2 separate regions of the Mus musculus genome follow, and region 2 is reported to be linked to region 1. Evidence: microRNA targets listed by miRTarBase, many of them from high-throughput screens and not tested one by one. Region 1 holds a microRNA gene; the other region holds the end of a gene's coding sequence.

Region 1 (7,120 bases):
CTGGTTGCCCTGGCTACCAGCTCCGACTAGCTCTGGCCAAGTCCCAGAGGCTGTGTGGCTGAGTGTTTGTATAAACTGCAGCAATGGGAAAAAAAAGCAGACAGCCACCCTACACCACCCCACCCCCACCCCCGGGGCTGGCAGGCCTGCCTCTGACCCCACAACCACATGGGGTGGGGATGCACAGAGCCACCAGGGCCAAGGTCCATCAAAGGAGAAGACAGGCAGTGGAGTAGTGAGATGATGATCTGGGGAGGGGGGTATTAGCCTCCCACTGTCTATAAGACATGACCTCAGCAACCCCAGGCCAGGATCCTGGTCTTAGGGTCTAAAGATGCTGTCTGCAGACACCTGCTGAGAGGCCTATCACACACACTACAAGCTCTGAGGACTGGCTGAAGTCTCCGGGGGCTCTGCAGCCTGTGTGTCCTCCAGGAAGGAGAGCCATGGTTCCTGGATCGAGTTGGTACAAGAGAGACAAGGTGCCACCAAGATCATAATCGTGGAATTCAGTCTCTGTTGAGGCTAGCACAGATACTGCAGGAACCCAACTCTGGGGGGGGGGGGGAGGGAGAGAAGGAGGGAGGGAGGGAGGGAGGGGGGAGAGGGAGGGGGAGGGGGAGGGGGAGGGAAAAAGGGAGGGAGAAAGGGAGGGAGGGGGAGGGAGGGAGAGGGGGGGAGGGAGGGGGAGAGGGAGAGAGAGAGAGAGGGAGGCAGGCTGACTGAGTGCATGAGGCCCTGGTCAGGTCAGTATGCAATCCCAGGTGCTGGGATCTCTCACATGGGGAACTGAGTCCCTGCCCCTGCCCCTGCTGGGAATGAGCCACATGGCAGACTCTGTTATGCAACTTCCCCCATCTTCAGAAACTACAAGAATAGATCCCCACTTCTGCTAAATGGGCTCTGACTTCTCTCTTCAGAGACCCCACCATGCTGTCTCTGGCACTGGGTTTGAACTCTTGGAGGATCCACCAAGCCTTTGCCTGCTTGCTCATGTCAGCAACTCTTTTAATCCAGCAGCGGTTCTCAACCTGTGGGTCACAAACCCCCAACCAATGGGACCGCCCCGCCACCCCCCGCCCGCTAGTCACATTACAGTTCTTGATAGTAGCAAAACTACAGTGAGGAAGTATTAATCAAATTAATTTTCTGGAGGTGGGGTCACCACAACATGTATCAAAGCACTGCAGCATCAGGAAGGCAGGCTGAAAACCACTGCTCTACAGTGACCGATCACAGTGTTCCCCCGAAATGCCTCCCGCCCCAAAACCTAACACTGCCTTTCCACTGGATCTCTGAGGGGGATCATGCTGGCCCTTGTGGAGACTGTAGAGGGAGGTCTCTATCTGTAGCCACTGAAGAAACCACATCCCAGTGCCATCACTCTGTCGTTTGGGATTTGACAGAGAGAGAAAGGACACATCAAAGTTAGGCAATGGGAGCTGGGGCTGGGGCTCAGTTGGTACAGTGTTTGCCTAGCATGCAGACACTGGCTTCTAGCCCCAGCATTGCATAACCCAGGCAACGTGGAACACTTGCCCATCCTAGTACCGCGTATTGGCGGTGGGATTCCAAACACACACCGCCACAGTCAGCTTTCAGGGGGCTCTCATGGGATCTGACCCCGGTCCTCCTGCTTGTCGGGCAAGCGCTGGACTGACAGCCGTCTCTCCACCTCCTGTTTCTTTTTTGTCGTTGTTGTTGTTACTTTTTAAAATATTTACTTATGTGCATAGATGTTCTGCCCACATATATGTACACGCATGTGTGTGCCTGGTACCCTCTGATGTCAGAAGTGGGTGTCAGGTCCCCTGAAACTGGAGTTATTGGAGAACGGGATGGTTTGGTCACATGGGTACTGGTGTTGAGACTGGATCCTCTGGAAGAGGGACAAGTGCTCTAAACTGAGACCCCCATCTTTCCAGCCCCCTGGTTTTCAAAGAGGAACTTGGTACGTGGCCCAGGCTGGCACTTCTCCTGTCTCTGTAGCCTCTGGAGTCCCGGGATTAGAGCTGCCCTCTTTTCCAGCTCTTTTTTAAAAGAGAGGTAGGGTGTGGCACACACATGCTGGGTGGAGATGGCTCGGTGGGTTAGAGCACTTGTTGCTCTTACAGAGGACCTGGGTTTGGTTCTCAGCACCCACATGGTAGCTCTCAATCATTTGTAATTGTAGCTCCAGAGGGCCCAAAGTCCTCTTCTGAACTCTGGGTACATATGTAATGCTCATTCAGGCATGCATATAAAACATGCACACTGGCCTGAGCGAATGCTGCACCCACGGAGGGTCCTTGTATGGATGGTGGGCTCAGCTCTTTGCTGTCCCTACCAAAGCCAAGGAAGGCTGACACTTTGGGGCCAGTGCAGCATCAGCAGTCTCCCAAATGGCACACCCTGAGGGTTCCTCCACCCACATCTCCATCACCACTCATGGTTTGCACTGATCCAGGGCTGGCGGAGCAGGCAGCCTCTGTCCCATGCTAACAGGCAAGGCTTGCTGGGTGACTCTGGAGATTGAGAAGAAAACTGGACCATCTCCCAACAGCCTTGGTAGCTAAATTCAAGACTGCCTGGTGTCCATGACAGGGCACAGCCTGTGTGTGTGTGTGTGTGTGTAGGTTAGCTGGTAAGCTGACCTGGAATTATAAAGCCCAGGCTAGCTAGCGTCCCCTTAGGGGCAATCTTGCCTCAGGCTCCCTGAGTTCTGGATGTTGAGAAGAGTCCTGGCCAGGCATTCTGAGCCACACTGGTAAGGGGAGTCTGGCCTGCTTGTGCCTGTTGCTGGTGAGGAGGCTTAACTCTACCATCTGTAAGCAGGGGCATCCTGGTGAGTGGGTGTTTTCTGCCAGCTCAAAGACTCCAGGCGGCACTTTCTCCCTTGCCCTCACCAGGCTGTGTGTAAACCCAGGACCAACCTTGAACCAGGGCAACTGCGTGGGCCTGCTTCTCTTGTTTGTTCCCCAGGTTTAATCAGGAAGCCCTGGTTGAACCTTACTGTTTTTGAAGCCTCAGGCGCTGAGGAGGCACACAAAGGTGGGTGCTGCAGCAAACCGCAGCTTCAAGCACCCCACCACTGCCCCTCCCTTGGGTCCCATGGGGGTAAAAGAGGCCTTCTGTGTAGGAGGAAGGGCAAGGGCCCACTGTCCTTCCCCAATGAAGTTCACAGGGCAGAGAGATGTTCTCCTTCTCCACACAGCTAGAAGGAGCTGCTGGCCCTGGCCAGGGCATCACCTGTGCTGGGGCAGTATGACTGGGGATATTCTCTTAATAGGGATTTGTGCTGTCCTGGGGAGGCAGTCAATGCCCAGCGTTTTTGAGCATCCACTGGGCTCAAAAACATCTTGTTCAAACGTTCTTGGAATTGTGGAGGAGGTTGGTGAATATGTCCTGAGGATTGAAAGTCCAAGGCTAGCTTGAGCTTAGCAAGTCTGTCTCAAACATAAACAAAAACCCCTCAAAGGTTAGTTGTAGACCTTGGCAGTAGAGGCCCTGGTAGCCAGTGCCAGACACACAGCTCTGTAGGACCTTCTTTCTTGGAATGACTGAGTCAGGTGTAAGGATGAACACAGGTGAGGGTAGAAGGACCCTCTGTTGTCCCCACCCCATCATGTGACCAGAGCAGCTGTACTGGGGGCGCAGCTGAGTGGCAGGGAATCCAGTCATTTGACCCGCTTCACACAGGACAGAGTCCCAAGGGCACAGCAGATGGTCGATGGAGCCCAGCACCTGGCCTGTCTATCACATACCCAGGTGGTGCCTCCAAGGCTGGGGCATGGTCTCTGGTCCCTACCACCCCTATACCTGTTCCCCAGACATTGGGAATGGCCTACAAGTGACAGCGATGTTTGTGGGGGGAGACCACGAAGCCTGCTGAGGCTGACGAGCTGGGTGCCAAGGCCAGTGGACTCTGTTCTCATTCCCCAGCCCAGAATCAGCCCTCCTCCATTCAGTTGGAGCCAGCCCGAGTCCAGGGTCCCACAGAGGTGTTCGACCTTGAGAGCCCATTCCGGTTCACAGACCTCAGCAGACTGCTGCCCGGCTATGCACTCACTCGGTAGCAAGATTTCCAGAAGACAAAGCAAAAGCACAACAACATAATGAAGAGAGGGGAGAGAGTTTGTTTTAAAGGAAGCTTTTTATTTGGAGGTAATTACTGAAACACAGTGGATGTAGAAGTGACCCAGGGACACCAACTGCCAGGACATAGGTCACACGCAGTAGAATCAACTGGTGCTACAGAGGACACACACAGAGGGAGAGACCTGGAAGGCTCCCTCCTGGCTCCTCTCCCCTCCCCCTCAGTGTCTGCGTAGGTTAAGATGATTAGGACCCCAGAGGGGTCAGTGCCTTGCGTCACCGCACAGAGAAACCAGAGTCCCCTCCATCCACGGAACAACCTGCAGATCTGCACAATCGAGTTCAAGAAGGTACAGCATGAACAGCCAGCGACTGAGCACCCTGGTCTGCAGGCAAGGGTCTGTGGACAGTGCAGGGGTGGACACCGGCTCTGTCGCCGAGGCGCTCACAGGCAGGCATACGTGAGCTCCTGGAGGACAGGGATAGTGGCCACCCCGTCCAGCTCTGCACAGCTGTGCTCTCACCACCTTGGTGCCAAGGCAAGGGTCACACCCACCTAGGGATCCCCTTCTAGATATGACTTTTCAAATGCACAAAATGTCACTTAAGCCCCATGCTTGAAAAAGACAAAGATGACAGATGCGGCACCCTGCCTCCTCAGTGACCTGAATGGCGGAAGTGAGCAGCAGATCTGATGTATCCCTGAGAAACAGGAGACTGGGCCATCACCAGCTGCCACAGGACACACGAATCCCCAGAGGTGATGTTGTCACCGCCACCAAGCCCAGGCTCTGTCCAGGCCACAGGTCCTTCTGCAGTCACGGCAGAAACACCCTGTGTCACTTACTTGGGGGTTAAACACAGGCTAAAGCCTAAGTCTTGACCTCAGGCTGCCCAGAGAATTAACTTTCTCACAGACTCCAGCACAGACCACAAGGCCTCTAGGCTGTGAGTCCCCGACTATACATCGGTTTTCTTGGCTCTCTGGCCTCAGCTCACCTGACTCAGGCTGACTGGCCCCACCAACAAGGTTATGAAGGTCCCATGGGTTTTCTAGGTCTAACCTCTCCCACTGCTATCTCACATGTCCCCAGTTCCAACACAGGAGCAGACAGACCCCAGGAGCTTGAACAGGGTGCAGATTTCCTTGACTAGGCTGAGGGGCTGGCTCCAGAAGATAAAACTTCCGTCCCTTTGCCTGCAGATCACAGGAACTGGTCCCAGCAGCTCTGGCACAAGTTTAAGTGGGAAGCCCAACTCGGCCATCAGTGAAGCTCCTGGTCCAAGAGCAAGGACAGAGTCAGCCCCTGCCACCTGAATCACGGGCGTGAGGGCGACACACACAACAAGCTCCCACCTAGGTCTACTCAGAAATGGCAGAAAGCAGCCAACAGGCAGGGAAGAGGGCCCTGCAGCGGGGGAGATGGGGAGGTCTCTAATCAGACCCCTGCAGTAGGAGACCCTGAAGTGAAGGAGAGGGAGGGGCTTGCATCTATAACTGAGCATTCCCAGGCCAGGAAAAGCCTGCTGACACAAGAACCTGTGTACTGTGCAGAGCCTGCGCTGCGTCCCTGAGCCGAGCGAGACTCAGTCTCATTTCAGCTGCAGTCTGCCTCCTTCGCCCTAGCTGGAGGCCTTCTTTCTAGCCAGGGCCAGGTACCCACATCCCCTTCTCTAGAGCTTCCCGGCATGCCCACCACCCAGGGATGCTTGTTCTAGCCTGGTTTCCACGTGCCCCACTCCCAATTCTATTTGAGTGTGCCGGTAATCAAAATGCTTTTGATTTTGGCTTCCTCTGGTAGAGCAGCTGTGTTCACACATCCCAAACTGCCTAGTGGACCCCCAAGTGACATTAAGGTCATGGAAGCTTTCTTGCTGTGGCCAAGGAAAGGCCATTTCTCCTGCTACAACGGGCCCAGCAACCACCCTGCAAGCAAGGTCAGATGTCTCTGCTCACCTGGGTAAGTGACTCCCTAGCAATCCAAAACTCCCCACCCCCCTTTTTTTAAAACAGCAGAAATGTGAAGACAGCTCTGAGCCAACGAGGGCAGAGATGACCAGAACAAACACTGGGGCACAAACAACACTCGCAGGATCCTCTATAGTTCCTACTTTTTGTGCTGATCTTGCTATTATAATGCAGAGCGGATTTCTAAAGCTTGAAAAGCCCACTAAGCAAAGTGTGGGAGTCATCCAAGGTGCGGGTGCAAGCAGCTACAACTGGGCAGAAAATGGGGTCTCCCAGGGAAAAAAAAAAAACCAAACAAACAATTATGTACTGTCAAAGACTATCAGCCACCAGGCTTCCACATTAGCTGAGCAGCCTGCGATCCTATTTCTCCTGCGAGTGTCAGCCTGTGAGCACAGCCTGCCAAGTTCTCACCTCCAGACCCTAACTATACCACCTTCCCCACAGACTTTAAGGAGTTCCTGCAGGAAGGCTGACCTGGGAGCAATTGAGAAGGCCTGCAACAAAGTCTGCCTCTTGGGAGGTGGAAAAAAACAAAACAAAACACAAAAACCCAGGCTAGTGGAGCAGGCAAGAATGAAATCAACATTACACAGGGACTTCATTAAGTGCCATAAAGTTTGTTGTTATGCCCCTCCCACTGTTCACAAGCAGTTTTTTGGGTCAGGGCTCTGCACACACCGCGGACACCCAGGAGGGTCCTCCTGGGTGTCCATGTTAACCTGGCAAGTTAACCTGGCATGTTAACCTGGCAAGCGGTCTCAAAGCCTAAGACTCAAAGTCTAATAAGACTATGAGCGGGGCCCAGGCTATGGGCTCAGGGGTGGGAAGGCAGGCAGCGGTGCGAAGGGACACCTGGACGACCTCGCGTGGCTACAGAGCGAGGCCACCACCGATGCCTCGGGGTCACCTGGCGCCGCCCGCGCCTGGCCACGCACTGACCTCGCTCGTAGGCAGCGGGGAGTTGTTGGCGCGAACTGCCGAGACCCAGGACGCTTCACAGCAGCGAGTCGGGACTGGGGCGGAACCAGATCTAGCCGGCTGGACAGTGACGCAGGCGCGCCTGCGCCCTCGGCG
Region 2 (7,120 bases), not on the chromosome of region 1:
TGTATGCATTGAGACTGGTGTATGTATGTATGTATGTATGCATGTATGTATGTATGTGTGTATGTATGTATGAGACCGGTGTATGTATGTATGTATGTATGCATGTATGCATTGAGACCGGTCTTTCTACAGAGTCCTGGCCGTCCTAGAACTCCCTAAGACCAGGATGGCCTTGAGCTGACAGAGGTCCATCTGGTTCTACCTTTGGAATGCTGGGATTAAAAGCATGTACCCACCACCCCCAGCTATTTTTATTTAAATTACTCATATATGTGGGGGGGGGCATATTTGAGTTCAGGTGGTGCCTGTGGAGTTCAAAGAAGAGCATTGGGTCCTCTGATGCTGGAGTCATGGGTTCTGGGAACCAAACTCAGGTCCTTCCCAGAATCAGCGCATGCTTCTGTCTGACCACTGAGCCATCTTCCCAGTCTTATGTGTTTTTTGCTTTTTTGTTTTCCTTCAGCAAAGAAGTTGCCATTCTCTGCAGTTTTCTGCTGGGTCTGGGAGACAGCTGCTTCAACACCCAGCTGCTTAGCATTCTGGGTTTTCTCTACTCGGAAGACAGCGCGCCGGCCTTCGCGGTCTTTAAGTTTGTTCAGGTAACTGGGTTGTGCTGCAGTCGGTTTCCTTCCCGTTGTCCTCGGTCACTGGGGGTTTAAATGAATGCTGGGTGTCCTGTAAAGGGGGGTGAGGAGAACCAGGCACAGTGGGCTTGCTTAGGTGAGAGGCTTTAATTCTGGTCTCTGCACTTGAGTGAATACTTCCTTAGGTACCAGCCCCATCTCTCCAGAGAGTCTCAGACTTCTCATCACTTTATTGTACTATTATAGTGCCACAGCTTACTGGATTATTGCTGTCAGGCAAGTTGGGGTGCATTTGTGAGCTGGGGACCAGTGAAGTCTGTCTTCACGGGCACTGCCAGTTGCAGATGTCCTTTGGGCTGACTGTGGAGCATCTGAGGCCCCAGCATCCACTTGGTGATTTATCTTGTTTCTTCTAGTCAATCTGCGCAGCCGTGGCCTTTTTCTACAGCAACTACCTCCTCCTCCACTGGCAGCTCCTGGTCATGGTGATATTTGGGTTTTTTGGAACCATTTCTTTCTTCGCTGTGGAGTGGGACGCTGCTGCCATCGTGGCCCGAGGCTCGGACTACCGAAGCATTTGATGAGAAAACAAGTGTCTCCAAGAAACACAGCTGGTCACATGGCAGCTGGTTAAATCCGACGGCCTGTCAGTCTCATAATCGCTAAAGCGAGAACGGAGACTGTGAAATCGGGCGGGGTTGGTAGTAAAGTTTACATATCCTAGCGGCACACGCTAGCGGAGGAAGGGAATCCCGCTCTATCCGTTACAGCTGTTCTGAGATGTTCGTCCACCCCCTCCCTCAGTTCCTCACAATCAGGGCTCCTCCATCCTCATTCTCGAGGAACGATCCAGCCTGGCTCGCCATGTGTCACGAGATCCTTGCTGGCTGTGGAGTATGCCTCACTCTTTCGAAATAGGAAGCAGATGCCACTCCATGTGTGGGTCTGGGAATGACTTTCTGAAACACAGCAAGGATGCTGAGACACGTTGTTTTGAGACAGGATCTCACTGCGTAGCCCAGGCTGGTCTTGGACTTGCAGCCCTCCCCTGCCTCCAGTGTTGGGGTTATTGCCCAACACTGGATTTAAAACGCTCCAATCCTAAGAGTTAGGGTCTTGATATGCAGCCTTGGCTGGCCTGGACTTTGTATACCAGGCAATGCTCCTGCCTTTGTCTCCAGAATGCCTGGGTGGTGAGAATATGCTACCACACACCGCTGAGACTTCAACTTCTCCTAAAATGCTTTGTTGAACAAGTCTTACCTTGTCACTCCCAGCAAGGGGCTGGTTATGTGTAATGAGGTAAAGACTGTGTCATTTGTCAACTAATAAAAGCATATTTAGAGAAGGAAAGAGTATTTACTGGGAGGGGGAGGACTCATGCTGTGGTTGTCCTGACCGTTACAATAAAGAAAACTCCGGCCATCCTCTGTGGGAAAGTGCGTAAGCACTGCAGACTGTCTCCCACAAGGACTGACACTCTTACGATTGAGATATTAAATTAATTAAGCATCTAGATCAGGTCTAACATGTATGTACTGCAGCTTGGCCTCCAACTTGTGCTCTTCCAAGCCACAAACAACCTCTGGCTAAAATTCACCAACTTAGTGTGTATGTGTGGTGTGTGTGCATAAGGTTGTATAACTGCCACCATATCTAATGACAATATTTTATTTTTAAATTCTTTTTTATTTTATTTATTAGTGTATGTGTTTGCCTGTGGCTTGTCTGTATATACATTCTGCCTACAGAACTCAGAGAAGTCAGATGGAGATTGGATCCCTGCGAACTGCATTTACAGGCAGTTAAAGACCACTGATATGGGGTGCGTTCTCTGGTGTCTTAGTTACTTTCCTCTTGTGAAGAGATACCAAGGCAACTTGTTTCGAGACAGGGTTTCTCTGTGTAGCACTGGCTGTCCTTGAACTCACGAGGCTGGAGAATCTGGTTGAGTGCTGGGATTAAAGTGTCCACTATTTCTTTGTTTTGTGTCGATGTACCTTGACGGATGTATTCGCCTAGCTTTCTTGTTTTTCTTCTGTATTAAAAGTCTGGTGCCTGCTTGGAAAAATTACATTAAGATACACAGTCAAGGGCTGGCGAGATGGCTCAGTGGGTAAGAGCACCCGACTGCTCTTCCGAAGGTCCAGAGTTCAAATCCCAGCAACCACATGGTGGCTCACAACCATCCCCAACAAGATCTGACTCCCTCTTCTAGAGTGTCTGAAGACAGCTACAGTGTACTTACATATAATCAATAAATAAATCTTTAAAAAAAAAAAAAAAAAAAAAAAAAGATACACAGTCAAAAAAAAAAAAAGGTGTGCACTACCAATGCCCAGCCAAGGGAACTTGCTTAAGGGTTTATTGGCACTTAAAAGTTCCAGAGGGTAAGTCTGTGACCATCATTGTGGCAAGCATGACAGCGGGACAGGCCTGGGGCTAGAGCAGTAGCCAAGAGCTCACATTTTATCCACAAGCAGGTAGCAGAGAACTAACTGGGAATGGCTTTCTGCTTTAGAGAATTGTCTTTATGTAACTTATGTATATAGATATATGTGTGCATATATGTACACCAGAAGAGAACTTCCCATGGGTCTGCCATTACAGATGGTTGTGAGCCTCTGTGTGGATGCTAGAAATTGAACTCAGAACCTCTGGGAGAGCAGCTGCTGCTCTTAATCATGGAGCCACCCCTCCAGCCCACTTCCAGTGACACTTCTCCCAATCCTTCCCAAACAGTTCCTCCAACTGGGGGAGGGGGAGGAGCATTCAGCTGTGTGAGCCAGTGGGGACCTTTCTCATTCAAGCCAGGACAAACCCCAAGTGCTCTCAATCCTCAGCCCGCTCTGCAGCCCCAGGACTGCAGAACTGTCTTGCATTGTCTCAGCCCTCAGCCCGTCTCAGATGTGGCAGGCACTAACAACCTTCCTATGTCTGGACCTGCTGGATATTCCATAGAACAGAGCCTTCCCTTTAAACGTGACATTTATCTGTCCACAGTACAGTGAGTCCAGCTCAGAGAAACATATCTTGTTTTCCATCACTTTGGGGTTGTTGGTTTTTTGGAGTTTGTTTGGGTTTGTGTTTCTCTCTCTCTCTCTCTCTCTCTCTCTCTCTCTCTCTCTCTCTCTCCTTTCCCCTCCCCTTTACAACCTCCCCACTCCCCTTCAGAGTAGCCTAAACCAAACTGGTCTTGAACTCACAGAGATCTGCCTTCCCTCTTGAGTGCTGGAATTAAAGGCATAGCCATCACACCCAGACCTGTGACTCTGAAACATGCCATGAATCTAGAAATTGTGTAGTTGGTTGGATGATTTGGGGGTGGGGGGCAGGTGAGATTTATTCTTATTATTGATTAGGTGTGTATGCTTGTGTCAGTGTCAGAAGGCAGAGGCATGGGATCCCCTGGAGCTAGAGTGGCTGTGAGCCACCCAGTGTGGGTGCTAAGAACTGACCACACTCACATCTGGAAGAGCAGTGCACACCCTTAACCCATGAGCCTTCTCTCTAGCTCCGTGCTTCAGTTCTTGAGATAGGCTATTGTATAGCCTAGGCTCTCCTCCATCTCACTATGTAGCATAGACTGACCTCACATTCCTCCTCCTCCTGTCCACCTTCTGAATGCTGGGATTACAGACACGCACCACCATGCCTGGCATTTTTGAGTATTTGATGGTAGGGTAGGAATCCGCAAAGCCCTGCTGTCAGCCGCAGTCCTTATAGAAGTCCCCTGTGTGGAACGATGGCGTCCTCCCTGGTTGTAAGGTTTGTTTTGTAAGGCAGGGTTTCAGGTAGGCAAAACTAGCTTCAGATTTGTTATGTAGTTGAATTTGACCTTGAACCCTGGTCCACCTGCTTCTGTTTCCAAAATGCTGGATTACAGGCTTGCACCGCCATGCCAGGCTGAGGTCTGGCTGGCTTTCTTGAAGCTGAGATAACCCCAGCAGCTGGTTGACCCTGTTGTTGCCCTTAGTTCTTTAGCTGAGACAAAAGGATTGATTCAGGCCTGCTGAGATTATATAATGTGTGTGTGTGTGTGTGTGTGTGTGTGTGTGTGTATGTGTGTGTGTGTGTGTGTGTGAGAGAGAGAGAGAGAGAGAGAGAGGCGGGTGGTGGGGTGGTGATGGTGGTGGAGGTGATGATGATGATGATGATGATGATGGTGATGGTGGTGGTGGTGGTGGTGGTGGAGCTAGAGAAATGGCTTGGCAGTTAAGAGCATTGACTATTCTTCCAGAAGACCCAGATTCCATTTCTAGCACTCGCTTGGCATCTTACAATCATCTATAACCCAAATCCAGGGGATCTGACACCCTCTTCTGGCCTGGAAAGGCACCAGGCATGCACATGGTGCATAGACATACATATAGGACCATACTCATAAAAAGTGTGTGTGTGTGTGTGTGTGTGTGTGTGTGTGTGTGTGTGTGTGTGTGTTAGAAACACAGGAGGCTGGCAACAGGACTCAGGCATGTAAAGGCACTGGCTACCAAGCTTGATGACCTGAGTTTAGTCCCTGGAAGTCACATGGTGGAGGGAGAGAACTGACTCCTGAAAGTTGCCCTCTGACCTCTGCGTGCCTCCTCATTCCACATAGGGCACCACAGCAGACTAGGTTAAAGAAACCTGGTTTGGAAAGCCAGAGAACCTACCGGATTTAGTTACAGAGCAGGGGTGAGGGCCAGCTCAAAGGGAACTGCTCCACCCAAACGTCTCCCCTTGTGACAGATGGAGCCCCCTTCGGTAACCCTTCCATGCATACACTGAAGCTGCTCCCAAATCCGTGAGACCCCGTGCGATCAGAGAGGAGGTGCGTGTAGCTGTCTAGAAGGAACAGGGAGCAAGCCAGGGTCCAGCCACCCTTCTCACCCTCTCCTATGTGAGAGTGTCAACATTCAATAAACCCAGCTTTTGGGTATCACAGCTGCTGGGACCAAGGATAGCACTCTATAGTAGCTTGTGTCCCAGGAGACCCAAGGACCATTCCTGACAAGGGACATCTGATGGGAAGATGTATGTGACTCTGTGAATGCATGTGGTCATGCTCACGGCTAAGGCTAATATTCCAGTGTCAAGTATCCATGTCCATTGCAGGGACCAGGACCCAGAGTCTAGAGGTGCTATGAGTGGGTCCATCTATTTGGGTCTCCACTTCAGGGCCACACGGGGGTCACACTTCCACGGCTACCTTCATTGCGCGCCTGCAAGGAATGGACACCGGGCCAGACCTTCTATGGCAGGGGTTCACTGGCTTCTGATGACACACACAGCCTTGGCCTGCCTCCTGGCCACCTGCCAGATTCCCAGAAGGAAGGCAGGTGTGTGTTTCACATAAACTTATTGTTGGCGCTCCCAGACCAGGCACCGGGAGCTGCTCTCAGCTGCTGGGGCTGGCATTGAACATGACTGATCAACCAATGAGAATCTTTGTCATCGTGTGGAGTTGGAATGTTGCAGGTACAGAGCCTAATTATCTTGAGCCACCTTTAGCCCTCTTAACAACCTTTTTTTTTTTTTTTTTTACCCTCCTCTGGATGTCAGTCAATGTTGTTGTGACCGTGACCATCAAGTAAATCCTGTGGTATGTACGGAAACCTGTACTAACCAGAGCTTAATAGCTCCTGAAGCCTGGAAGGGAGATTTCTTGGATTTGCATTAACCCACACACCTCATGTGTCCACTGGTGTATTTTAAAAAGGCCTCAGCCTTTAATGATGGATATCCCCTTTAATCCCAGCGCTCAGGAGGCAGAGGTAGGAAGATACCTGGGTTTAAGGCCAGCCTGGTCTACAGAGTGAGTTCCAGAATAGCCAGGGCTACACAGAGAGACCTGTCTCCAAAACAAAATAAAACAAGAAATATTGAAACATCTCTCTTAGAAATAGTGTTTTGGCTCTCTGACTCTGACTCTTTTTTCCTCTCGGACCCTTTTCTTCCTCTCTCCTCTTCCTCCTCCCCCCCTCTCCACATGTTCCTGTCCCGCCTCTTCCCCACCCCCTCCCTCTCTCTCTGTGCTCTGTCCCCTCTCTTTCTCTGCCTCTACTCCCTTCTCAACTCCCCTTCCCATGTCCCCAAATAAACTTTGTTCCATACAAAGAAAGAAAGAAAGAAAGAAAGAAAGAAAGAAAGAAAGAAAGAAAGAAAGAAAGAAAGAAAGAAAGAAAGAAAGGAAGGAAGGAAGGAAGGAAGAAAGAAAGGAAGGAAGAAATAGTGTTTTGGGACTGTCAGGATAACTCAAAGGTTAAGAGCACTGACTGCTCTTCCAGAGGTCCTGAGTTTAAATCCCAGCAACCACATGGTGGCTCACAACCATCTGTAATGGGATCTGATGCCCTCTTCTGGTGTCTGTGTCTGAAGACAGCAACAGTGTATCCACGTACATAAAATAAATTATTATTATTTGGGTTTTTTTGGTTTTTCCAGACAGGGTTTCTCTGTGTAGCCCTGGCTGTCCTGGAACTCACTTTGTAGACCAGGCTGACCTTGAACTCAGAAATCTGCCTGCCTCTGCCTCCGGAGTGCTGGGATTAAGG

What was found. The annotated mature microRNA mmu-miR-339-5p reads UCCCUGUCCUCCAGGAGCUCACG and lies in region 1 at 4,535-4,557, opposite strand. An mRNA with a match to its seed (bases 2 to 7 or 8) in the 3' UTR can be bound and repressed. Matches are read on the target gene's strand: a 7mer-m8 pairs with bases 2 to 8, a 7mer-A1 pairs with bases 2 to 7 and ends in A, and an 8mer does both.
Region 2: miRTarBase lists Mfsd11 as a target of mmu-miR-339-5p. Seed matches in the 3' UTR shown: 7mer-m8 at 2,474-2,480.

The regions. Positions count from the first base shown.
Region 1 is chr5:139,365,174-139,372,293 of GRCm38, forward strand. Mir339 (microRNA 339) reads right to left here and starts at 4,572; the gene lies at 4,477-4,572. All of the region lies in intron 2 of 3110082I17Rik (RIKEN cDNA 3110082I17 gene), which reads right to left.
Region 2 is chr11:116,872,781-116,879,900 of GRCm38, forward strand. It overlaps Mfsd11 (major facilitator superfamily domain containing 11), which reads left to right. Exons shown (of 13, transcript NM_178620.4): 12 at 464-599; 13 at 1,001-2,880. The coding sequence ends at 1,165. Among named protein-coding and RNA genes, the nearest start is that of Mfsd11, 22 kb to the left of the region's middle.